5 linked regions of the Cricetulus griseus genome follow. The protein of the gene in region 5 purifies or fractionates together with the protein of the main gene of each other region. This does not show direct contact. Links are inferred from orthologs where the notes say so. Each region holds a gene or a part of one and is shown on either strand. Other genes may lie near its edges.

Evidence for each region. The genes of interacting proteins can lie anywhere in the genome.
Region 1: the proteins of Ncbp1 (region 5) and Lin28a purify together in Homo sapiens (affinity purification with mass spectrometry; 3 studies listed by BioGRID and IntAct, with this or other methods). This does not show direct contact. The link is inferred for Cricetulus griseus from reciprocal best matches to the Homo sapiens genes NCBP1 and LIN28A.
Region 2: the proteins of Ncbp1 (region 5) and Kpna3 purify together in Homo sapiens (co-immunoprecipitation; 3 studies listed by BioGRID and IntAct, with this or other methods). This does not show direct contact. The link is inferred for Cricetulus griseus from reciprocal best matches to the Homo sapiens genes NCBP1 and KPNA3.
Region 3: the proteins of Ncbp1 (region 5) and Eif4g1 purify together in Homo sapiens (affinity purification with western blotting; 3 studies listed by BioGRID and IntAct, with this or other methods). This does not show direct contact. The link is inferred for Cricetulus griseus from reciprocal best matches to the Homo sapiens genes NCBP1 and EIF4G1.
Region 4: the proteins of Ncbp1 (region 5) and Thoc2 purify together in Homo sapiens (affinity purification with western blotting; 3 studies listed by BioGRID and IntAct, with this or other methods). This does not show direct contact. The link is inferred for Cricetulus griseus from reciprocal best matches to the Homo sapiens genes NCBP1 and THOC2.

The regions. Positions count from the first base shown.
Region 1 is NC_048595.1:19,276,029-19,280,766, forward strand, and holds the start of Lin28a (protein lin-28 homolog A), read left to right. Parts: upstream 1-1,482; coding exon 1,483-1,513; intron 1,514-1,974; coding exon 1,975-2,171; intron 2,172-4,738. UniProt on the Homo sapiens protein: RNA-binding protein that inhibits processing of pre-let-7 miRNAs and regulates translation of mRNAs that control developmental timing, pluripotency and metabolism.
Region 2 is NW_023276807.1:216,452,286-216,456,905, reverse strand, and holds the start of Kpna3 (importin subunit alpha-4), read left to right. Parts: upstream 1-1,364; 5' UTR 1,365-1,412; coding exon 1,413-1,727; intron 1,728-4,620. UniProt on the Homo sapiens protein: Functions in nuclear protein import as an adapter protein for nuclear receptor KPNB1. Binds specifically and directly to substrates containing either a simple or bipartite NLS motif.
Region 3 is NC_048597.1:67,976,717-67,981,669, forward strand, and holds the start of Eif4g1 (eukaryotic translation initiation factor 4 gamma 1), read right to left. Parts: upstream 3,257-4,953; 5' UTR 3,104-3,256; intron 2,382-3,103; 5' UTR 2,325-2,381; intron 2,116-2,324; 5' UTR 2,082-2,115; coding exon 2,022-2,081; intron 1,755-2,021; coding exon 1,668-1,754; intron 630-1,667; coding exon 453-629; intron 277-452; coding exon 177-276; intron 1-176.
Region 4 is NC_048604.1:26,077,820-26,082,487, reverse strand, and holds the start of Thoc2 (THO complex subunit 2), read right to left. Parts: upstream 3,257-4,668; 5' UTR 3,198-3,256; coding exon 3,127-3,197; intron 1-3,126. UniProt on the Homo sapiens protein: Component of the THO subcomplex of the TREX complex which is thought to couple mRNA transcription, processing and nuclear export, and which specifically associates with spliced mRNA and not with unspliced pre-mRNA.
Region 5 is NC_048595.1:97,274,842-97,279,012, forward strand, and holds part of Ncbp1 (nuclear cap-binding protein subunit 1), read right to left. Parts: intron 2,843-4,171; coding exon 2,735-2,842; intron 2,049-2,734; coding exon 1,927-2,048; intron 1,048-1,926; coding exon 978-1,047; intron 238-977; coding exon 22-237; intron 1-21. UniProt on the Homo sapiens protein: Component of the cap-binding complex (CBC), which binds cotranscriptionally to the 5'-cap of pre-mRNAs and is involved in various processes such as pre-mRNA splicing, translation regulation, nonsense-mediated mRNA decay, RNA-mediated gene silencing (RNAi) by microRNAs (miRNAs) and mRNA export.

The DNA of each region.
Region 1 (4,738 bases), about 78 Mb from region 5:
TGAGCACCGGAAGTGAAGGGGCAGGGCCAGGGCTGTGCACTGAGCCCCGGGCCATTGTCCATCTCTGACCAGGGCAGCGGCCACCCCCGGTCCACCCTCTTTATCTTCTAGTAGGGAGTTTACCTCTTCAAATGAGAAACCTCCCTATCCAGTCCTTCCACCAGCCACACTACGGGAGGGTAGCGCAATTTAGGATGGTGACTGAGAACAGGAGGGTCTGGGAACCAGAGGGTCCCGGGTACTGCAGGAAGTGCCTCCACCCACAAATCTGTTGCCCTCTGCCAGCAAGGGGTGGGACAGGACGGGACGCGGCGGACAGGATGAAAGGCCGCTAGCTATCACAGAGGGCACTCTTCCAGGGTCCCCCTTGCTCTCCCAGGAAGCTCTCTACCTGGGACCAACTTAGATGCAGGCTTGGAAGGAAGCAAAGGATTCTTAGCACAGAATCAACTAGGAGCTTGTTTCTGATTGGGACAAACCCAGCGAAACTGAGGTTGAGACTTGGAGATGGAGGCATCTAGTTGTAGTCAGAGGCAGCCGGAGTTTGAGGGGCAGCGCCTAGGTCAAGACAGATGTGCTCTGTGGGGTCTCCAGCCGCTTCGCTGCACCCCTATCCTGACTTCCTAGTGTCCAGAACTCCAGGTCTATCTAAGCACACGGGAGTGGGGGGTGAGAGCAGGTCAGCGACAAGCTGCCGGGTCAGCTCAGAGGCCTGAGGGGGAAGGGGGGAGGGGCGCTGAGGGGCTGGGGGAGGGGGAGGGCTCATCCATTTCTCCCTTGACAGGTGGTTTGTGTTTCTGATTGGACAGCGCCACCAGGCTCACACCTCCCTCCCCCAACTCTCTGGAATGTATAATTATCTGCCCGGGGGGTGGGGGTGGGGTGCGTGTGTGTGTGTGTGTGTGCGCGCGCGCGCGTGTGTGTGTGTGTGTGTGTGTGTGTGTGTGTGTGCTTGTGCGTGTGTGTGCTTGTGCGTGTGTGTGTGTGTGTGTGTGTGTGTGTAGTCACGTGGTTACAAAACTACCCCCCTCTCAGGTCCCCCACCTGTGTCTGCATTGGGTACCCATATTGAGTCCTCAAAGTGCAGGATCCCAAATTCTGGGGGTACTCAAGACTTCTAGGGCAAAAGACCCCCGTTTCCAGATGTGTGCATGTGGAGGGGGTGTCAAATCTCAAGGTTCTGGGAAGGGACACCCCAGAGGTGTCAGAGACCAGAGCGGTGGGGGAGGGCGGGAGCCAGAGCCGGAGGGAAAGGGAGGGGTAGGGAGGGAGGGGAGGGGAGGGGAGGGGGCTGCCCGCGGGGGGTTGGGTCATTGTCTTTTAGAATTTGGGAGCCTTTGAAAAGCCGTGGGCCCTCCCACCGCTATTGTGCGGGGGAAGATGTAGCAGCCTCTTCTCCGAACCACCCCTTTGCCTCCGGACTTCTCTGGGGCCAGCAGCCGCCCGACCTGGGGCCCGGGGCCACGGGCTCAGCCGACGACCATGGGCTCGGTGTCCAACCAGCAGTTTGCAGGTTCGAGCTTACGATTTAGCGGGCACACCTTAGGGTGCAGGGCGCCCACGAGCTAATTAGAAGGGAGGTGGGAAAGTGTCCCACGGACTTGCCCGCGGGACCCCAAGTCCCTGCGGCCTCCTGCTCCTTGGGGCCATCTGTGGGACAGGGAACCCTGGTGTTCCAGTGGCTTGTGCGCCAAGCCCGCGGGGGCGGAGGGAGCGAAGAGGAGGGGCCTGTCCCGCCGCGTGTGCACCGGCAACATGTTGTGGGAAGACAAGCAAAACTTTCGGGGCATCAGCATCCTCGGTGTGAGCTTGGGGCGGCAGCCAGGGCAGGTTTCTTCTTACCAGCTGTTTGGTAGCTGCCTCCTCCTGGGTGTCTATCCGCGGGCTCAACACCGAGGTCTCCCAGACGGGTACCGGAGAGGGCCCTGTGATTGCCTGGCCCCCAGCTGATCACCTGGCCCTCCCTGTCTCCAGGTGGCTGCGCCAAGGCAGCTGAGAAGGCGCCCGAGGAGGCGCCGACTGACGCGGCCCGAGCCGCAGAGGAGCCGCAGCTGCTGCACGGGGCCGGCATCTGTAAGTGGTTCAACGTGCGCATGGGGTTCGGCTTCCTGTCCATGACCGCCCGCGCCGGGGTCGCGCTCGACCCCCCGGTGGACGTCTTTGTGCACCAGGTGAGAATGATTCCGGTAACTTAGCTAGGAAAAAGGAAAACTGGGAGTTACATATATGTGCTTGGCTGATGGCCGCTCCTGTTGGATTGGAGGAGATAAAGGACCCTCATTGTGCGTCCCTATCTGCTGGGACACCCCAATTTTGAGTTTGAGTAACTACGGTGGAGCAAGGAGGAGGCACCACTGGTTACCAGCACCCCCTCCCCGCCCCCTTCCGGGAACCCCTCCGGCTTACCACGTGTCTATTACCTCTTTCCCCTGGGAAGGGAGCAGGGGGCAGGGAGGTGACCCCATGTGGCAGAAACTAAGGTTGTATTGTGCTTGCCGGTGGGGGAGGGCGAGCAGGCTGATCAGGGAAGCACATGCAGGGCCTGAGCCGGGCGCTAGCGCCTTGAGTTCTGAATGTAGTTTCCAGGGCAGGAGAGGTGGGTCATTTGCCACCCTACCCACGGGCATGAACCTGCGAGGTCAGGCTGTTCCCCCTGATTGAGTGCAGACCTCAGTCCGGTGGCCACCCAAAAAGCCAGGTCCCGTGGCCAGTATAGATTCGGCAGATCCCGGAAGGATCAATGTGTGGGCTGAAAAGCCCCCCTAGAGGGCTGGATTTCAGTTCAGGACTGGCAGGCACCTCTGCTGCCCACCAGGTCCTGCCAGGAAGGAAAACCGTAAGAGCCCAGGCCTTCATTCCTGGATGGGCCAGTCTAGGAGACTTGGGTCGGTGCAATCCCAAGTTCTCAGTTAAAGAAGGGCTGCGCAGTGGGGAGTGAAATTCAGTGTCGAGGGGGCAGGCGGTGGAAGGAGGCTGGCCTCTTGCCCTATTCTCCTCAGCTTGGCATTTATGGCCCCAGACAGCCATTGATTGCTGTCCCTAACATTCCTAACCCTAAACAAGGAAGGGAGCCTTCAGGTTTCACTGTTATTCGCCTTACCCTCTCAACATCCTATGGACGTTCAAATGGTCCCCATGCCTCGGTGGGAAGGAGGTGACTGCTGCTCCCCCTTCCAGATTTGGTGGTTAAGGCAGGACCAGGAAAGAAGAAATTGCTAATCCCTGGCCCTGGAGCTTGACACCCGGTCCGGGCAGGGAGGGGTTACTTCAGGGAGGTTAGCTTTAGGAGCTGTGGGGGAGGGGAAAGGAGGATGTGGGGATTAAGAGTTGGAGCCTCAGGGATGGCGTTCTTGAGGGGGAGGGGTAGGGAAGGAGATGCTGGATCGACTGGTTGGAGGCTAGAGACTAATGTGAAGACTGAGCCCTACCCTCCAGTCAGGGGGTTGAGCAAGGGCAACTAGGTAGATTTGGTTTGAAGGAATTTTGGGAGCAGCTCTTTGCTGTTGGTGTCATTGGCTTCTGGAACGTGTGTTTAAGAGACCCGCAGCAGCAGTACCCTTAGCTACTTTCTTGACCCCCCCCCCATCACTACCACCAGATTGCTGGTTTCTGCATGGTGGCTTTGTGCCCCCTTCTCATTTACATATGTGAACGATAACCCACAGGAAGTAATTGTGAGTGAGAAGGGAATTGACCCCTTTGGATCTATTAAGTCACTTTATTACAGGAACCAGCTTTGAATGGCTCTCCTGCTTCCCCCACTCTCCCATTTATCTGATCACAGAGATTAAAATCTTTCCTGGTCTGGAGATGGGCTGGACAGCCTTCCCAATTTTGGGAGGCTGGGATATAAAGTAGGTATAGAGCCTTCTTGACTTCTTCCAAAGGCTAAGGAGGGAGACACTAAGGAGCATGTACCCTCTGCTCTGGGGTTCCTTGGTAGTAGAACAAATTGGAGGGCTGTGCCTCAGACTTAACCTTAGGATCCATAGCAATTGGAAAGCTATAGGACGCCACTGGAGGAAAGCAACAATCTCAATACTGACCAACTTGGAGATCTATGTCCACCAGCCCAAAATTGAAGTTTTTATGTGTTGGTTTCCTGTTTTCTTTCTGTTTTTGAGACAGAATCTCACTGTCTAACTTCGGCTGGCCTGGAGTTTGCTCTGTAGACCAGACTGGCGCCTCTAACTGGAGATCTGCCTAACTCTGCCTGGATTTGGGATTAAAGGCCCATTGGCACCCATATTTGAAGAAGTTGCCTCCCTAACCACCACTCTCCCCACACTGTAGTTGGTGTGTTACCACAGCTCATGATGGTGGTTGGGCTGGTTCACACTCCAGCATAATTTAGGCTGGTAACCTGAGTTATCTCTGAGCTGGAGGTACATTGTAGATACTGGGTAATCTCTGAAACTTGTCTTCAAAAGGAGTGTTCATGAGGTAGAGAGGGAAAGAAGTCTTTAATGGAACTTCTTGTACTGGCCGTGGGTTAGGATGGGGTGGAAGGGAAGGAATTGTCTCTGGATGACATTTGTCATGCCATGGAAAGGGAGGGGATCAGGAAAAACCCTTCCAAGATTGAGGTGATAAGGTTCCCTGCACCCTGTTAAAGATAGTGCCAGTCCACATACTTCTATATTTTGAGGCAGCACCTTACACTGACTATAGTGCAGGCAAGCCTGGAAGTCACTCTAGCCAAGTTGACTTATATAGTTGGGTGACACTCCTTTGCTTT
Region 2 (4,620 bases), on a different chromosome or scaffold from region 5:
AGACTGATAAGTGATAGCCTTCCCCCCCTTATTTTGTTTTATCTTCTTCAAATGAGTCATTTGACCAGATTCAAAGGACACGCTGAGGGCTTGAAGTCTAGAGAAAAATGTAAATTAATTAAAAAAGAAAAAGAAAGAAAAGGGGGAGGGGAAGGGGTACAATTAAGATAGTTAAAAAAAATAAAATAGAGAAAAAAGAGTGCAACTTTTTGTTTTCCATGAGAAAGCACTACTGGCATCAGTAGACCGACCATACTTCAACAGGGCAAAGATGGTGTAAGACCTTTCATGGACTTGTAGTTACCAACTGACCACAACCAGTGACTCACAAAACAAATGCAGGTGACAGCTTGGCCACCAAAGGCCTTTCAGTTCCTAACTCAGACCTCAGGTTCTTCCAGATTTCTTTTGAAGATTGTCTTAACTGAATTCTTTATGGTATATTTCTACCAATCTGACCTGGCTCATTTTGATCATATGTAGTACAACTGCATACAAGCTTATATCTGCAGAAGATACAGAAACGCAATATTCTTATATATAAACCAAGTCCACCTGCCCGGGGGTGGGGTGGGTGGGTGGGGTGGGGTGGGGTGGGGTGGGGTGAATAAAAGCTGTTATTGTTCCAACCTCTCTCTGTTATTTCTTCTATGACTTTAAAGGGAGAAGGCAGGCTGGAGTCTGCAGCCCCAGGGCCTGATTACAGCCTGAAGGCTAGATTGTGTGTTAAGGTGGACTAGGAGCCATGGGGGCACAGGAAGGTAGAGCTGCCAAAGTGACGATTGCACAAGGATGCTTGGGAGAAATCAGGGCATGCTGGAACGCTATTATTTTCTTTTATCGATGAGAACTTAGTAGGTACTGTGCTGACCTGACAGATTCTTGAGACCAACAAAGTCTCTGCACTCATTGAGCTTAATAACGGTGCAGGGAGCAAGGTAGCATAAGCATAAACACACACATCACATTCACATGTATCTGTGGAGTGGAAACAAGCATGCTATTTATAACACCGAGGCAGAGCAAGAGAACAGAGTTTGAGGGTGGTTGCTATTTGAGGAGACCCCAAAGAAGCCAAAAGCGCAGAGCACGCGTGGCCGTTCTTTTTCTAATTTTCCAAGCTGTAGGGAGCAAGGTGCGCCCCCAGGAGCCCCGCCTCTCGCTCCCGATAGGCCGCAAGGTGCCATCTCCGGAGATGTCCTGCCCACCACCCCGCCCAGAGGCGGGGCTTCGAGCCCGCGCTCAGAAAGCGCCGCGCCGAAAGCGCGCGCCCAGCCCTCCCGGCATGCTTCTCGTCCTCTCATGGCGTGGCTCAGACCAGCGCCTGGCATGCTGGGAACTGTAGTTTCCGCCCGCCGCCCCGCGTCAGGGGTGGTGGTAAAAGCTGCTAGGTCGGGCTCCATTTCTAGCACATGACTAGCGGCGGTCGGGAGGCTCTACGGTGGGGTGAGGGCAGGGTCACCGCGACAGCCAGCAGGCCAGCGCCCCGGCCTCTCCCGGCGCGCGCCGCTCCTCAGCGCCGCCCCCGCGCCGCGGCCACCTCGCGCTCCGGGCGTCACGGAGCGCGCGCTCCTCCCCCTCCGTCCCCTCCCGCTCGACTCGCCGCCGCCCCGCCGCCGCCGCCGCAGGAGCAGCCGCCGCCGGAGCCGCGCGCAGCCATGGCCGAGAACCCCGGCTTGGAGAACCACCGCATCAAGAGCTTCAAGAACAAGGGCCGCGATGTGGAGGCGAGTGTGCTCCGAGTCTGGCCGGGCCGGGCGGCCGGGAGAGGAGGGGAGGGGAGGGGCGGGGGCCCGTGGCCGCTGGCTCTCGCCGGCTGGCGGTCAGTCCGGAGTTGGCCGCCGCCTCGGGGGGCGCCGCGGCCCGGGCTGCAGCCGCCTCCTGAGCGGCCAACGCGGGCACCGGGGACCGCTGGGCGCTCGGCGCCGCCGCGCGGGCGCGGCCTGCTGTCGGAGGGGAAGGGATGTGGAGCCGAGGCGGGGTCCGCGGGCCGCGCGGGAGGACGGACCGGGATGCTGCCGCCCCGCGTGCCGACCGCACCGCTGGGGCCCGGCCGGCGCTCGCGTCCTCAGCCGGTGCAGCCTCCCGCGCTGCTGCACATGGAGCCTCAGTCCCCGCGCCTACCTTGTGCGAGCCGGGCCCAGGCGGGCGGTGGCAGCCCTTAGAGGGGGGTGGGGACCAGCCGGGTAACTGACTTGTTTGAGGGTGGTGGATGGGGGAGGGTAGGATGCGCCAAGACCATTTTCTTATATTCCAGTGCTGTCCTTTGGACCAGTCTTCCCGAGCTGTTGCAGCTCATAACCCCTGTGACTGCTGGCATTTGGAGCGAGCTAAAGGTGGACAATAGTTTACCATCCATTGTGTTGAAGCTTTGGGAAGGAGATTATGCAGACCTCTGATCTTGGGTTTTTTCTTTCTTTCTTTCTTTTTTTAAAAAAAGCTCATCTTGGAGTGGGAGCGTGAATAGTAGGAAAACAATTTCTTTGACCTGTTTTGCCGAAATAAATTGCATACATAGATTCCTACGTCCTTGTGTATACCACATGCCACCAGGCTGGTAGATTTTCCAAGTGGTTGCAAAACTGTAAACATTCATTGTGGTCACTCAGTTCGCTGCTACTCAGCATGTTGCCATTGTCTCATTAAGGTGACATTAGCAGCTACTATTTGCAAACTCTGCTTATTGAGGTAGCGCTAGAGGTCTCTCTGCTCCTACTAAAACCAATGAAGTGTAATAGCACAAACTTCACTGGAACTCGACCTCTGAATTTGAGGGGGGAAGGAGTTTTAAGCCTATACCCTCTTTTCTATTCTAATAGTAGGTGATGGTTTGTATAGTCCTGTAATTTTTGGTAAGAGGCTAGTAAATACAGAGTTTGGTTTAGTAGAGAAGCAGGTGAAGCTGGGACATTTCTCAGAGCTACAAAATTAGGTATGAATTGGGAAAAACCTGGGGGAATATCTGTGGAATTCCCATTTGAGTGAGACTACAGGTCCTTTATCTCTATCCTGATCACATCTAAGTTTCCTTTTGGAGAAGTACTTCCAAACAAAAGTGAAAGCTAACAACTGGAACAGCCATCAGTCTCTATTTTTTAATAAGACTTGGTTTTTATCTTTTCTTCACCAGTAGTTTTTCTGTGTGTGTGTGTGTGTGTGAGTGTTACACCAGTAGTCTCTGTTGCTTTTTGTTGTTGTTGTTGTTGTTTGTTTCCTTTTTGAGACAGGACCTCATTGCAGAGCAGTCTGGTCAAACACACAAAATAATTCTCCTGCCTCAGTCTCCCAAGTGCTGGGATTACAGGCATGGGCTACCACACCCAGTTCCACAAGTAATTTTTCTTGAGGCTATCTTTTATTACTGTAAGCAAAACTGCATAGTTTGTGTGGATGTATTGCTCCTATTGCTTGTACATTCTTTACTTTTCTGGATGTTGGTGTAAGTTTTAGTCACAATTCACTTCTAGTATGGTGTCCTATTTGTTTAATGATACCTAATAAGGACTTTTTCATGGAATAGATCCACAGCAGGTACTTGCATGAAAAGAACAGTATAGTTGCCAAGCCATTGATTTTGTTCACAACATTACATTTTAAGGACATGTTAGGATAACTAAGACATGAAACAACAGGCATTCAGATGGTAGTTCTTTGTGTCAGACACTATGTTGTACCAAAAGTTTGCTACCTCATTTAATCCTTACTAGTTAGGTGTGACATTGTCTTTACTTTATCAGGGAAAAAAGTACTTTGACACAGAATGTCAGCATCCATGTAATGTGCTGGTCATGTCTGAGCATTCATTTTCTAAATGACTATTAGGTGCCTATAATGCTCAGCCTTCTTCATACAAAAGGACCTAAGATTCAGTTTGGCTTGAGCTTATAGTCAGTGTGTGAGAAAAACCTACACTGGATCAGGAGTGTTGACTTCCAAACAGCAGTGAGATCTGTTGATTCCTAATAGATGAATGGGGATGAACTGATCCTGAAGAGTCAGAGAAGTCTGGGCGCACATTCAGTAATTCCAGCACTTGGAACTGGGAGGCAGAGTGTTAGGAGGTCAAGGTCATCTTGGGCTACATGATACCCTACCTAAAAAATAAGTGAATGAAGGGTTGTAGTTGGGGAAGGGTAAGGGCCGGAGAAGGTGGGAGGCATTTGGAATTTTATTAAGTATTAATTGAAAAGTCCCAGTTTATGCAGTCAGCTGGTAAACAAGGAAAATAAGAAGGCAACCTTACTTATGTGAAGGGTTGTGAGTGAGTGGACAGGGTTGTAAAGAGATCTTGTAGACATTCATCAAGAGTGACTTCATAAGAGAGCTTTGGAGAGACAAAATGAAGTGATGGATCTTACAGGAAATATATATCAAACTTGAGATGGGCAGATGAAAAATTAGTGAATAACATCACAGGTGAAAAAGAGGTGTGTCTCCAAAGCTACACAGAGAAGCCCTGTCTCGAAAAACAAAAAACAAACAAACAAAAAAAGAGGTGTGACTATATTGGGGATGAACCTGAGACTTACATATGGCTTGTTGGTGTGAGAATTCATAAGTCAGGTATGTCCCTTGGAAGGTTTTGCTTAGTTGGGAGATCTGAGAAATGTATTCAGCCCA
Region 3 (4,953 bases), on a different chromosome or scaffold from region 5:
TCGGCCTGCCTCCCGAGTGCTGGGATTAAAGATTTGTGCCACCAACGCCCAGCTGTAGGCACAAATTCTTATCATCTATTAATCCTATTATTTTAAAAACCAAAAGCATGCCCAGGAAGGTCTTAGAAAGCAGACCACTTAAGTGTTCCGTAGGACGCACTCTCACCCCTGCTTACCGTAGGTCCCAAACTCGGTAGGGCTTGCACCCGGATAGAAGCCTGGGGCTCCTGGCTGCACAGGGTACTGCTGTGTTGGGACAACATACGTAGAACGCCCCTGATGGGGGTTGGGGAGAGAGGAGGGAAAAGAAGGAGATGAGGAAAGCTACGAATACGTCAGATTATGTAAGTAGGGTAAGCTAAGCCTGGGCAATGACTACAAGTCCCACCTCCATAGGAGAAATGGATCTAGAAGACCAGATAGGAGGTCTGGCTTCCAGCCCCCAGCCTCACCTGTCCAGGGATATAGTAGGCTCCTTGGGAGGCGGAATAGGAGATCTGGGAAGGGATCATCATTACTTGGGATCCAGCAGGGTAGACATGGGTAGCTGGGCCAGGACGGGCAGGGGCTGCACTCTGCACTCTGGAGGCTGCACTGCTCGGGGGCTGGGCCCGGCTAGGGTAGAAGTGCTATTAGGAAGGAGGAAAGCAGTTGGGGTCAAGAAGGGGAGGGAGTCAACACTAAAATCAGCATTCCATTCCACAATGTACATACAATCTCAGAGTACTGTAGGCTTCAGAGCATGGAGACCAATCCTTCCAAAACCCACATGAACTGATGGCTAAGTGGCCTCTTGGTCTAAAACTTGTCTGGAAACTTAGATGAATACTTTGTATCCTGTACTCTCTCACTGCCATGCATACTCTATCACCTCTAGATGATCCCTCTAGAGTCTTCCTAACACCAAGATGCATCATGCTTAAGTAAGGCCCTCGAGGGCAACATACTTCCCAGCATGCACTATTCCACCTCAAATACTGATTAACTGCTACATGCAACAATCTTCCAGTTTTGAGATACTTGCTCTCCAACAGTTAACCTCTAACATGCAGTATTTGGACTCAAACTGAAGACCTCAACATCAAACAAGGCCCCACCCTGAATATCCCATCTGTGTCTAGCTATGGACTAGGGTAGAGGATGGGGTAACACCAAGAGGTTGCTCAGGATTAGGAAAGGGGTATTACCTGCAGAGACCTGAATCCTCCCTGAGAGCACATGGGGACAGGAAAGACGACAATTATCCCCAAGGTGATGGAAGGGGTTTAGGGGGAGTGGAGTAGGTAGGAAAAGAATCCTTCCACTTGGGAAGAACTTGGAGAACAGAAAAAAATGAAAGCGCAGCTGGAAAGTTCATCTCATCACAGTTCAAAGAGAAAGCGAAGAGGAACAGGGCAATGGCAACCTCCTAGTCACAGGAAAGAGCGGGCAGCAAGACCCACAGCACTGTCCCCAATTGTCAAAGGCATGAAGACCCAGTAATGCCACTTTCATAGACTACAAACTTCACAAAGGGTGAGCCACCATAACTAACACAGCACGAAAGAATTCAGAGCAACTGTCAGGAAATTGGGGGCAAGTACACAGCCTCCACAGTTTCCATACTAGTCCCAAACCAGATTTTCCCAGTTCCCACCCAGCGACCTACTCTAACCACAGCCCCTCACCTGGCGGGGCTGAGAAGGCGTGTTCATTTGTGTCGCTTGTGGCGTGCTAAACACCACCGGTGCAGTCTGCCCCGGGGGAAACGCTGGCTGAAGGGGAGAGACCAGAGTTCAGCAAGAGGGGAAGCCTGGGTGGGGCCGAAACCCAAGCTGGTGAAATAGGGGGAGCAGACCTGCAGCAAAAGCCTCAGCAGTCCACATGTTCCCTCCCTGTGACAGCCCCAGGGACAGCCAGGGGCCCTATCTCAATTTGGCAGCAGGCAGCTGCACTTTGCCCTGACACAGATGGGGGTGGGAAAACTGAGAGCTGCATGACCTCCACCCCAACCAGAGTTCTGCTCATTTTGCCTCGATTACCTGTGGGAGTCCAGGGGACCTGGCGGGTGGGGGGCCTGTGGGCTGAGGAGCTTTGTTCATTTCATTTGGTGCCACATCAGGGTCCCCCCAGCACCTGTTGGAAAGAACAGAGCTCGGAACCGGGAAAGGACCCGAGCTTACGGCAAATGGGCTGGGGGAAAGGTATCAAGAGCTAAGAGTAACGTGGATCAAGGGAGGTGCCAAGGGAATGCAGAAACACAAGTGATCCAGACTGTGGATCCCACCAACACACCGCAATACCCCGACCCCACCCTTGCCTGCTCAAACAGCCCCCTCACTCACCCCCTCGGTTAAGAATAAGTCCACAGTGCGGCCTACAGGTTCTGGGCATCCGAAGGCCTGGGGTTGGGAGGTGAGGGGTATCAACCTGGCTCCACGGGGCCCAAGACCAACCAGACCGGAAATTCCAGGTCTCGCTGGCACCAGGCTCCCGGATCACAAATGAAGCCGGCTGCTTCGGCCGTGGTGTCCCCACCCCCCACCCGGGGACACCGGGTTCGGAGCCTGCCGCGGGGCACTCGCACGGGGCCGAAGAGGCCTGAGACCGCCCGGGAACACGAGCCAGGAAGGGCACGAGCCCGGCCCTACCAGCAGGGCTGGCGGCGACGGCCGCCTTGCCGCTCGGGGCAGACGAGGGTCGGCCGCCGGGCGGGGCTGGGGGCTCCTCCCTGCCCGCCGCCGCCTCCTTGCCCTGCGCAACGCGGCCAGTGCCAAAGAACAACGTGTCACTTCCCGGCGGCCGCCCGGGCCCCGCAGGGGGAGGGGGCGGCGGGTCTGCGCCGCGTAGCCTGCGCCGGGCCACGTCCCCGGCCCAGCGAAGGTGGCTGTCGCGCCGCCGCCCCAGCGCCCTCCCCTCCCGGGTCGGCCGGGCCCTGCTCCCCACCCCCACCCGGGCCCGGCCCGGCACACGTGGGCCGGGGATCGGCCTGGCGAGTAGGGCCTGGGCGCGGGCGCGGGCCGGGGCGCCGGGGCGGCGGCGCAGGGTGGCGGCCCCGGCCCGGATGGCGGCGGATGCGGGGGGAGGGGTGGGGCCGGGTCGGGCCCGGACATGGCGGCTTTACCTTCAGTCTCCTTCAGTCCGCGCGGCCGAGCCCCACGCAGCCGCACAGACGTAGTCCACAACCATTTCCGGCTCCCCGCACAGATCCCGCTCGGCGGCCACCGCTTCTCCGCAGGCGCAGCCGGCGCCCCACGTGACCGGCGCAGAAGGCGGAGCCGCGTTGGCGCTGGGGAAGCACATGGGATTTGCTCCGCCCTGTCACGTGACGCGCACTGCCCGCCCTCGTGTCCCCTCCCGAACTTTGGAACTCCCAGGCCGACCCCCTCTGAGGCTCTGGCGGTTCTTTAGTTCATTCATACTTTGCGCATTTATTGAGCGCGTGAGTGCTAAGTGCCGCCCGGGAGCTGAGAGTGCTGAATTTAAATGCAGTCCTGTCCTTGTAAATGGTACACTACAAATTATGTAGCCTCTGAAAATGCTGTAGATTTGATCTTTGATAGTCCTATTAACAAGAAAATGAATGCTGCACCAAAAGAAGTGATGCATTCTAACTGAAGGCGCAATTTTACATTCACTGTTTACAATAAACCAGTTGCTGCTCGGGAAAGGCAAAAATCAATCACGAAAACTTTAGGAAGAAACAATTCTAAAAGTCGAGTGTACAGGTGCATGCATGTCTGTGATCCCCAGAATTCTGAAGGCTAAGGCAGGGAGATTGGCATGATGGTTCACTGGTTAAAGGACTGGCAGCTCTTCAAAAAGACCTGGGTTCAATTCCACTACCACTACAGTAGCTCACAATTGTCTGTAACACTAATTCTATATGCTCATCATGCTATCTTTTGGCCTCTTTGGCACCAGGTTTGCATGTGGTACAGACATACATGTAAGCAAAGCATTCATACAAATGACTAAAAATAAAATTTAAAAAATAGGAACAAATTTTAAAAATTTGAAACCAGCCTAGCTCAAGTTTGAGCTTTTAACGATCTTGTCTTTTTAGTTGTTCTTTTGTTTTGTTTTTGGCTGGGTGTGGTGGTACCGGCCTTTAATCCCAGCACTTAGGAGGCAGAGGCAGGCAGATCTCTGTGAGTACAAGGCCAGCCTGGTCTGCAGGGGGAGTTCCAGGACAGCCCAGTCTACACAGAAAAAGGAACTTGAGTCAAGCCAGGTGGTGGTAACCCTCGCCTTTAATCCCAGTCTGTTCCTCAAGATTCACATTAAAATCTGTCCAGGGGCTGGGCATTGGTGGCGCACGCCTTTAATCCCAGCACTTGAGAGGCAGAGGCAGTCGGATCTCTGTGAGTTCAAGGTTAGCCTAGTCTCCAGAGCGAGTGCCAGGATAGGCTCCAAAGCTACACAGAGAAACCCTGTCTTGAAAAACAAAAACAAACAAAAATCAATTGCTGTATGAGTAGACTGTGGGTGGGGGAGTGGTAGAAGAGGGAAGGGAAACAAAAAGTTGCTGGGCATGCCTTTAATCCCAGTGCTCAGGAGGCAGAGGCAGTCAGATCTCTGTGCTAGGACTAAGGTATGTGCCATCACTGCCCAACCTAAGCCTAAATTTCTAGCTTTAATTCCTTTTCCCACATTTCCCTGGACTCTATATACTTAGCCAAGCAAAACTAAGCATGGTCTCTGGAAACAAACAGTTTTTCCTCCTGTTTGCCTTTGCTACTCCAATCCACATCCTACTGACTTTGCCTCTCTATGTCCATCTTTCTCCTAGTCTCAGACTCCCCTGCCTGATCTAGGTACTTAGACACTTTCTTTGGGAAGGGGGCAGGCATTATTGGGCACTGAACGTAGGGCCTTGTGCACTCAAAGGCAACCACTCCATTAAGCTATATCCCCAGTTCTCCTTTTGTTTGAGACAAGGCTTCACTATGTTGTCCAGGTACTTTTAAATGT
Region 4 (4,668 bases), on a different chromosome or scaffold from region 5:
GAGGTAGGTAGAGGAAAGTAGTAGGAAGTCAGCAAATTAAAGTATGTCATATGTATGTATGAAAAGGCCATAATAAAACCTATTGCTTTTACAATAATGTAAATAACTTTGTAAAGGCCTGAAGATATACCTCAGCAATAGTACTTGCCTAGTATGTACAAGGCTTCTAGGTTCATCTACCAATAAGGAAAAACTTAAATATTTCATTATACTATATAGCTTCAGTTTGGGGATTTTTTAGATATTTTTAAGTGTGTGTGTGTGTGTGTGTGTGTGTGTGTGTGTGTGTGTAAAATACAGGTATTTGAAGAGGTGAGAGGTATTAGATCCCCAGGAGCTGGAGTTACAGGTAACTGAACCATCAGGTGTGGGTTTTGAGAAGTGAACTCAAGTCCTCTAGAAGCACAGTAAGCCCTCCTAACCTTCTGAGACGTCTCTCCAATCTATATAGCTGTAATTTTCTTTTGACTTTTGTTGTTTTCTTTGAGAAAAGGGTTCACTATGTAACCCCTGCTGCCCTCAAACTCATGGGACTCCTCCCTCATCTTCCCAAGTGCTAGGATTACAGGTGTTAGCCACCACAGCCAACTATGCCATCCAACTTTAAATTCTCAGCTAGTATAGTGGTACATGCCTATAATCTTAGCACCCAGAAGAGGATTATAAATTCAAGGTCAGCATGGGCTACAAGGTCACTATATCAAAAAAATGAGATAAATCCTCTTAATATAACAGAAATGATATATAATCATTAAGCTGATCACACTGATTCAAATCTACTATAATTCAAACCACATTCCACAAGCTATGCAATAAAACACAAACATGGATATCCTAAGTTCAGTTTTAAGTAGCTCTTTTAACACTAGGTAGCATGGAACATGTAAAAATACATAAACTCAAAATTACATTTTAACTAGATATTCTTGCCTTCACATACACTTAAAGTTTTTCTCCAAACATAACCCGTCAGAAGCAAAGCAGACACAACTCGTCCTATTCCTAATATTCATTTTAAGGTGGAAGCAAAATTAAACTGTTAAAAAAAAAAACAGCTAGGCCTGTGGTTGTAGCTCATTGATGGAGCACTTACTACCAAACACACACACACACACACACACACACACACACAATCCACCTGCAGGAGGAAGCTGAGCCACCTACAAAAATGACCGTCCATAATGAATACATAGGTTTTAGACAGTAAACAACGATGAACTGGATTATTTGTTTGGGGAGGATTACCCCCAAATATAGGATGGTTTACTTGAGTTGCTTCCCATTCTGCCTTCTCAGCACGCAAGGCACCTGACAGGTATTTATTAAATAGCACATAAAAATTAAAAATGCTTATCTTACATGTGAGACATACATACCTGTGAGTTAACAAAACCCTAGGGCACTATAAACACTTGCTAGAGGAGATGTTGAACCAATAAATAAATAAATAAATAAATAAATAAATAAAATAAGAGACAGCATCGCTTTTCTTCAAGAACCTCTGAATTTATTGGCATACAAGAGTAAATACACATGAAGCCAGAGGCCAATTAATTGCTAACCAAAGAGGTAAAGCCTATAAGTGCAAGAGTTGTCCCGAGAAGTTTAAATATCTAAAAGCTGGAATAATATTAGTTTTAATAGCTATCACTTGAGCACTTACTATAAGCCAAGTGCTTTCTAGAGTAGCGTGCTTACTATTCCCAGTTTACTCAAGGGAAAACAGTCAAAGTGGTTAAGAATTTACCAAGGTCACTCAGCTAGTTAAGTGGGCTAAGCTAGCCGCTTATTCCCACAATCCAATTCTAGGACTCACACTGTTAAGTTTCATGGAACAGCAAAGGGAGCTGTCGGCGGGAGTTAAGTCATTTTACAAGAGTACCAGCCTGCAATGCATGTCTGGTGCTTCGTGCTTCGCTTGAAGTAACAAAGTTTCGAAAGATTCCTGTCTTCTCGCTATCAATCGGGAACCTGACACTGGATCGGAGTGGAGGAGTGGCGGGAGACAACCCAAACAGCTAAAAAGAATTCATCTCACTCAAGATGGACTGCTAAGCTTCGAACGCGATTCAGAAGAATAAATCAGAACTTTTTTTTTTCTTTTTCAAATCTATGGTCAATTTTACTATTTAAACGGGGAGTGGGGGTGGGGTGGCTATTTGGGGAGAGAAAACCTCTACCGTGACAAATTACCAGGAAGGGGGGGGGTCCAAAATAAGTTTCTAAGACTTAAAGGAAAGAAAATATCCTAAAGTACTAAAAAAAAAAAAAAAAAAGCTTCGAGGGGGAACCAGAATGAGCGAGCGTCCCACGCCAAAACGGGGGTTTCATCAACACTTGATGATGAAAAGTTGGATCCAACCCGAAACCATCGGAGGTGACATGCCGGTAGGGACTTGGCAAAAGCGGCAATCCCTGCCACACTCCCCCCCACCACCACCACCAAGGACCGCAGGGCCAGGACAGTGCAAGCTGGAGCTCCCCAAGAAACCAGAGGTGCTAAGCCGGGCTGTCCCCAACGCTCCGTGCTCCTCAGCCGCTGGCGCCTAGAACGGGAGAAGAGTTCGGGACAGTTCGCCCTCCTCAGACTTCGGGCACAGGAGAGGCCGGGCGCCAAACTGCGGGAGCCGCTTTAGGGGCAGAGTGATGAAATGGGACAGAGAGAAAAAAACAAAAAACAAAAAAAAAAAAACAAAACAAAACAACAAAAAAAAAAAAACTGTCAAGTCCGGACCCAACGGTCCCCGGGCGCGAACCCACGGCCAGAAAAGCAGCCGAAGTGAGCGGAGTTAAAAACGAAAGAGACAGGACAAAAAGAGACAGCGGGAGCACAGGGGGACCCGAGGGGGACAAGACGGAAGTTCGCCTTAAGAGACTATAAAGGAAGCCAGGCTCCGCTGGAGCGCCGGGCTGTCGGGGAGGTCGGGGAAGGGAGGCGCTCGGCGGAGGCTACCGGCTCCGCTCGTCCCACAGTTCGAAACTCCTAAAGAACCATCCCCAATCGCCGCCCGGGTGGGGGAGGGGGCGCCGCTCCTCCCCCCCCCGGCCCCTGTACCCCACTTCCGAAGGTGGCCAACGCCCCGGCCTCCGGCTCCCGCAGCGCCCGCCCCAGGCCCGAACACTCACAAATCGCCTCTCCCTGATTTCTCCCAATTCTTTATCCACTCTGCGGGAACCACCACAGTCGCGGCCGCCATCTTCCCCTCGCTAGTAACAGTGGCCCGGATGTGTAGCGAGCGAGCCAGAGGTCAAAGGGGAGCCCCGCCCACTGGGAGTGACGGAAGCTGGGAGTTCGCGTTTAGATTTCCCGCCCCACCTACCTCCCCACCCAGCGGAAGCCCCGGGCCTTGCTGACAAAGAGGTAGCAGGCGCTGGAGGTCCCTTTCGCTAATACCTGCCCGGACCGCGCCCTCGACACAGTCTTCGCGTTTTATTGCCCCTCTGGAATTAAAAAAATAAAAATAAAAACAAAATGCCAGCCCGGGACCGCGTGTAGCCTTTACGATCTCCTGTAATATCTACCCCAAGCCGTTAATTCAAACGCATAATTTTTCAAGCTCTCTGTATGTTAGGCTTAGAAGATACGGAAACTGTAAGCCCTGAATGACATGACCCTCTGGAAAACAGGAACATGAGATAAGAAATAGCTCAACTAACTACTGGTAGAAAACTGTCACGGAGAGGGCAGCGATACGTGCGATGACAAGTAACATGCTCTCATAATGGATAAAAGGTGGCCCCGGGAAACACGTGATGCCTCAATTCTTACTCCTTACTTTAGCTGTCAAACTAACAAGCATTAGTACTATGAGAAACGATTTTTTACAGTCTCAAAATCTCTCCACAAAATACTTGTTATTACAAAGGAAAAACGTTCCCGGAGGAAAATATGGAAGATACCACCCTGTGTTGGTGAAAAACAAATTTTGCCAGAGTTGGAGCTGGAGCTCGAGTCTAGTGCACTTGCCTACATTGCACCAGGCACTGGTCTGGAACCTCACCACTGGGGGAAAAAAGACTAAAGTATCTCAGAAATATGACACGTGAACCAGACAGGGAATTACAACACTCAGGAACCTGAGGCAGGAGCATAGCTACTTCCCACCAGCCTAAAAATAGGCAAGGTGGGCAAGTGAGCTAGAAGAAATGGACACCATGGGACTTCCAATGGTGTGCCAGAAAAAAAAAAAAAAAAACACTAAGCAACTTTTTGGATTTCTTTTTTTTTCGAGACAGGGTTTCTCTGTGGCTTTGGAGGCTGTCCTGGAACTAGCTCTTGTAGACCAGGCTGGACTCGAATTCACAGAGATCTGCCTGCCTCTGCCTCCCGAGTGCTGGGATTAAAGGCGTGTGCCACCACTGCCCAGGTGGGAATTGTTAATGTCCAAATTTCACATGTTAATTTGATATTGTAGGAGTGGGAGACATACCCATCCTTGAGGGACCATCTACAACATCGCTGACTTGCACTCTTCAAAATTGTCAAGCTCATAGAAGATAGTAATCCTTCAAGATTTATGAAGACTGGAGGCAGAAGCAGAAGGATCTCTGTGAGTTCAAGGCCAGCCTCATCTACATAGCAAGCTCCAGGCCAGCCAAGGTTATATACTGAGACTATCTCAAAAAAAGATTAATGGAGACAAGAAATATAAGAGATGCCCTCCCCTC
Region 5 (4,171 bases):
AACTCTTGGGTACTCCCATACCTCTGGGTCATCTGTGTAGTCAAACATCCTGAAAATTACCCTGGGCATCGGGTACACCGAGTCTTCTGTGTGAGGTGGTGGTGTGAAAGGAGGCAGGTTGTGCTGCAGTGCTTCGCAGAGGATGCTGTCAAAGGCAAGGTAGGGTCTTAGGATGTGCCTTTCCTGCCACCGGTCCTTTTTCAATTTCTGAATCTGGGCCCACAGGCAATCTAAATACTAAAAAGAGATTTTAATATTTAATATAAACATTTTGGCTAGACAGTACAGAAAATGTCTATTCTCTAAAATACAGGACAAAATAAACTAACTTGGTATTTCATACAGTAGAAAAGAATGGCACTAAGTTTTTGTTTTTTACTTAAAAATTTAAAATTGCATTAGTGTGCATGCTCTTGCCACAAGCATTGAGATCAGAGGGCAGCTTTTGGAAGGTGTTCCTCTCCTTCCATTCTGTGGTAAGGCTGCCTCTACCCACTAAGCAGTCCATTCTCCATTTTTACTTTAGCAGCTTTTTTTCAGTAGAACATTTGGGGTGACTGCGTCTGCTATTTTTAAAATTGAGTATTTAGATATAAAATGTGTCAAGTGTGTGGACACTGGTATTCTAAAAAGCAAGGGGCTGTTTCAATTATACTCAAACATATATTAAATATCTCCTCTATGCTTAAGAATCTGAGGAAATTAATTCCTCACTGGAAATATTTAAAAACCTAGCTAAGATACACAAACGCAATAGTTTGAGTAAAACTGCAGTTTTACTTATTTGTGTGGCACATGGGGCATAGGGCACTCTCAGAGGTCAGAGGACAACTTATAGGAATCAGTTTCCTCCTTCTACCCGTGGGTCCTGGGAACTGAATTCAGGTTGACAGGGTTGGTGATATAGTTTGGGCATGTTACAGAGGTAAGATCTACTCAAAAGCTGTGCAAGTAACACAGGATGGAAAACAATTCACCTCTTCTTGTGGATGTGGCTTATCGGCAGTCCATACTTGTAGCATGGGCACATGAGTCTTCTGGCGTCGTCTAAGAGTAAAAATGAAAATCTACACTTAGGCTTTAGAAAAATAAAAGACACTCCATGGTTTTCACGTATTAATTAAAAGAATGAAAAACATTTTCATCCATCAGATCAGCAGATAGCAACATTTTTGATAATAGTCTATTTGTCATCAAGATAACAGCACATCTGTATCTCAAACACTGGTGACAGAGGGGTTAATTGGTACAATCTGGAAGAATATGTCTATGGAAGACAATGTGACCATTTCTGTCAAAATTTTAGTTGTTCTGAATCTTCACCCAACTCCATTCCTATGAATTCATATCCCCATAAATACACACAGACATACACACAATATATATATACATATATATTATATATAATAATATTCCCTGATACTTATTTAAGGTAAAAGGAGACTGCACAAACTAAATATCCACAGAGAACTAATTTATTATACTAATAAAGAAAACCATTAAAAAAACACAACACAACAATACCATGGTACTGTTAATAAACCCAATCAGATGGAATCGTTTGAACCTCTTCCACTCGATTTAGATGCCTGGGCAGAGGTATAATTTTAAGTGCTATAGGTGACCTTTAAGCATAAACATATGAACACTAGAACACTAGTGGAACTACTACACCATGGTGTTCTACGCCTTTCACAACAACATGAAAACTGCTTAGCACACATGATACCAACTTCTTACATTAGCAAAGTACTGGGATCTTAATGAATTATGGCAGCAGGAGAATGAAATTTAATAGAGGACTTTTTCAGAAGCTTTAAGGTTTTGTTTTTTAAAAAATGGAACTGAAAGAAAACTGAAGACATTTATCCTATCAGCAGGATATCTTTATGTGAACAACAAAGAACATGCGAGCTGTGCCCTTACTTAAGATAACTTTCAGTGTTGGAGAAGATTCGGTCCATTTCTGCATCTTTCTTTTCATATAACTCTTTTCCAACCCAAGGCAAAGATGACAGAAATGCATACACATACCAATCCCGTCGCACCTGAAGAAAGGTTAAAAAGGTAAGTAAAAAAAAAAAAAAAATCAAAACCAAAAACATGCTAGTTAGCTTTATTTATTTATTCTCTTATTATTTATTCTTTCCAGTGTCAAGGATCAAGTTCAATTCTTACAGATGCTAAGCAAGCATTCTACAAGTGAGCTATACAACTCTCCAGGCCAATCTTTTTTAGTCGAAAATGCAATCCTGGGGAGGCTTTTCAATAAGGCTTAAATAAACTATCTGGCTCATCTAGAGGATTTCTAGATATACAGTTCTACTAATCTTTTTTTAAAAAAAGATTTTATTTATTATGTATACAACATTCTGCTTCCATGTATATTTCCACATCAGAAGAGGGCACCAGATCTCATTACAGATGGCTGTGAGCCACCATGTGGTTGCTGGGAATTGAACTCAGGACCTCTGGGAGAGCAGCCAGTGCTCTTAACCTCTGAGTCATCTCTCCAGCCCTACAGTTCTAATCTTATTAAAATCATCTGAACTAACACAATGATGTCAAGAGAACCCACCAATAAGCCAGTTAGTTGATTTGCCCTTCAGGTATTAAGCACTACAGTGTGATAATCTGTTATTGTATTTTGTTTATTGCTGCTAAAGAGTTATCAGTAGGGAAAAAAATCTGGTACAGTACTTTACAGAAAAGATTCAACATAAAGGTGTCTTACTTGAGGCACATCTTCTTCCTGAGTCACACTTACAAAATTCTCAAACATAGCAACCATAGATGGGGCAGCAATCACATGACAATTCACAAGATCAGATAGAAAACGGACCTGTGAGGGCAAAGGATATCTGTATTAACCTAATAGTCTTTCATAATAGTCACAAAATAAAGCCCATGTCTGTATTTAGCTTATTATCTTTTCGTTTGCGCAACCTGTGAGCCAAGAAGTCTCTAAATTTAATGTTCAAAACAAAGTAATATTCACACAAAATGACATGAATTCAAATTTCAGTGTGCATAACCATGCTTGCAGTAGAAGACAGTTCACACCCATTCAGCCACTTATTGACCCATGCTTCTGTGATACAATGGTGAAATTGGGTAGCTGTACTAAAGATCTTATGCTGGACAGGTATCTGTGACTTTGTGGGTTTCCATGCTATGCTACATTAAGCACCTGGACAGCCAGATATTCTAGTTATTCCATTCTACTGAAGTAGGTTGGTCTTTTTGTTTGGCTAGGAATAATTTTTACTGAAATATAAAAATGGAAAATTTAAGTAAAAGAGATATTGACTACGTGCCAAGACTATATAAGCACTATTTAAGGTACTGTTTAAGGGAACTTAATAGCAGATTTGGGACAAACACAATCTCAACAAAAAGGGATGGCTCCTGCACTAAAAGGTAAGTTAAAAAGTGCCCTTGGGACCAGTGACATCGGTAACAAGGGAAAAAGTGTAAGGAGAAAGCAACTGGGCAAGGTTATAAAGCGTGAGCAAAGCCCTCAGTGGGGAGCAGGGAAGGCATTCTTGGCACAGGGTTGTGCAGGTAACTACATAGCTGCAGGGTATACAGGGGACAAGAGAAAGCAACCAGACTGGGGCAATCATGAAAGATGAAGACTTTAATCCTATATCCTGACAGGTGTCCAAAATTTTCTGAATTTGTCTTCAATAAAAAAGATTGTGATCAAATGATTTTCAACATGTAGGTACTTACTTATGGTAAGTACTGGATTACTACCAATCTATGTATTAGGTATTAGTAAGACTTAATTAAGTCTTTTATTCAAGACACACAAAGGTTCTACGTTGCAGAAAGAACCTAAGAACCAGAGGTTGGGGAGGAGTCTGCAAAAATGCTATCCTCTGGACAGGATATGACCACAGCACTAAAAACCTCACAGCAGCTACAGACAGGTCAACATTCCTTCATGGACAGGGATGGAGTTCATGAGGCCCCAACCCTTTCCTGAGGAGCTACTGGTAGTTAAAAGTTTCTGGGCAAGGAGGTATTTTCTTTAGTTGTGTAGCCATTAGTAAGGTGTCCATCCATGTTCCAGTAAATAACCACCCACACTTGTATGCAAGTGAGTCACACATATACAAAAAGACATCAAAATAGAAAGGAGACTAGAAAGAGTACAGCAAGAGCA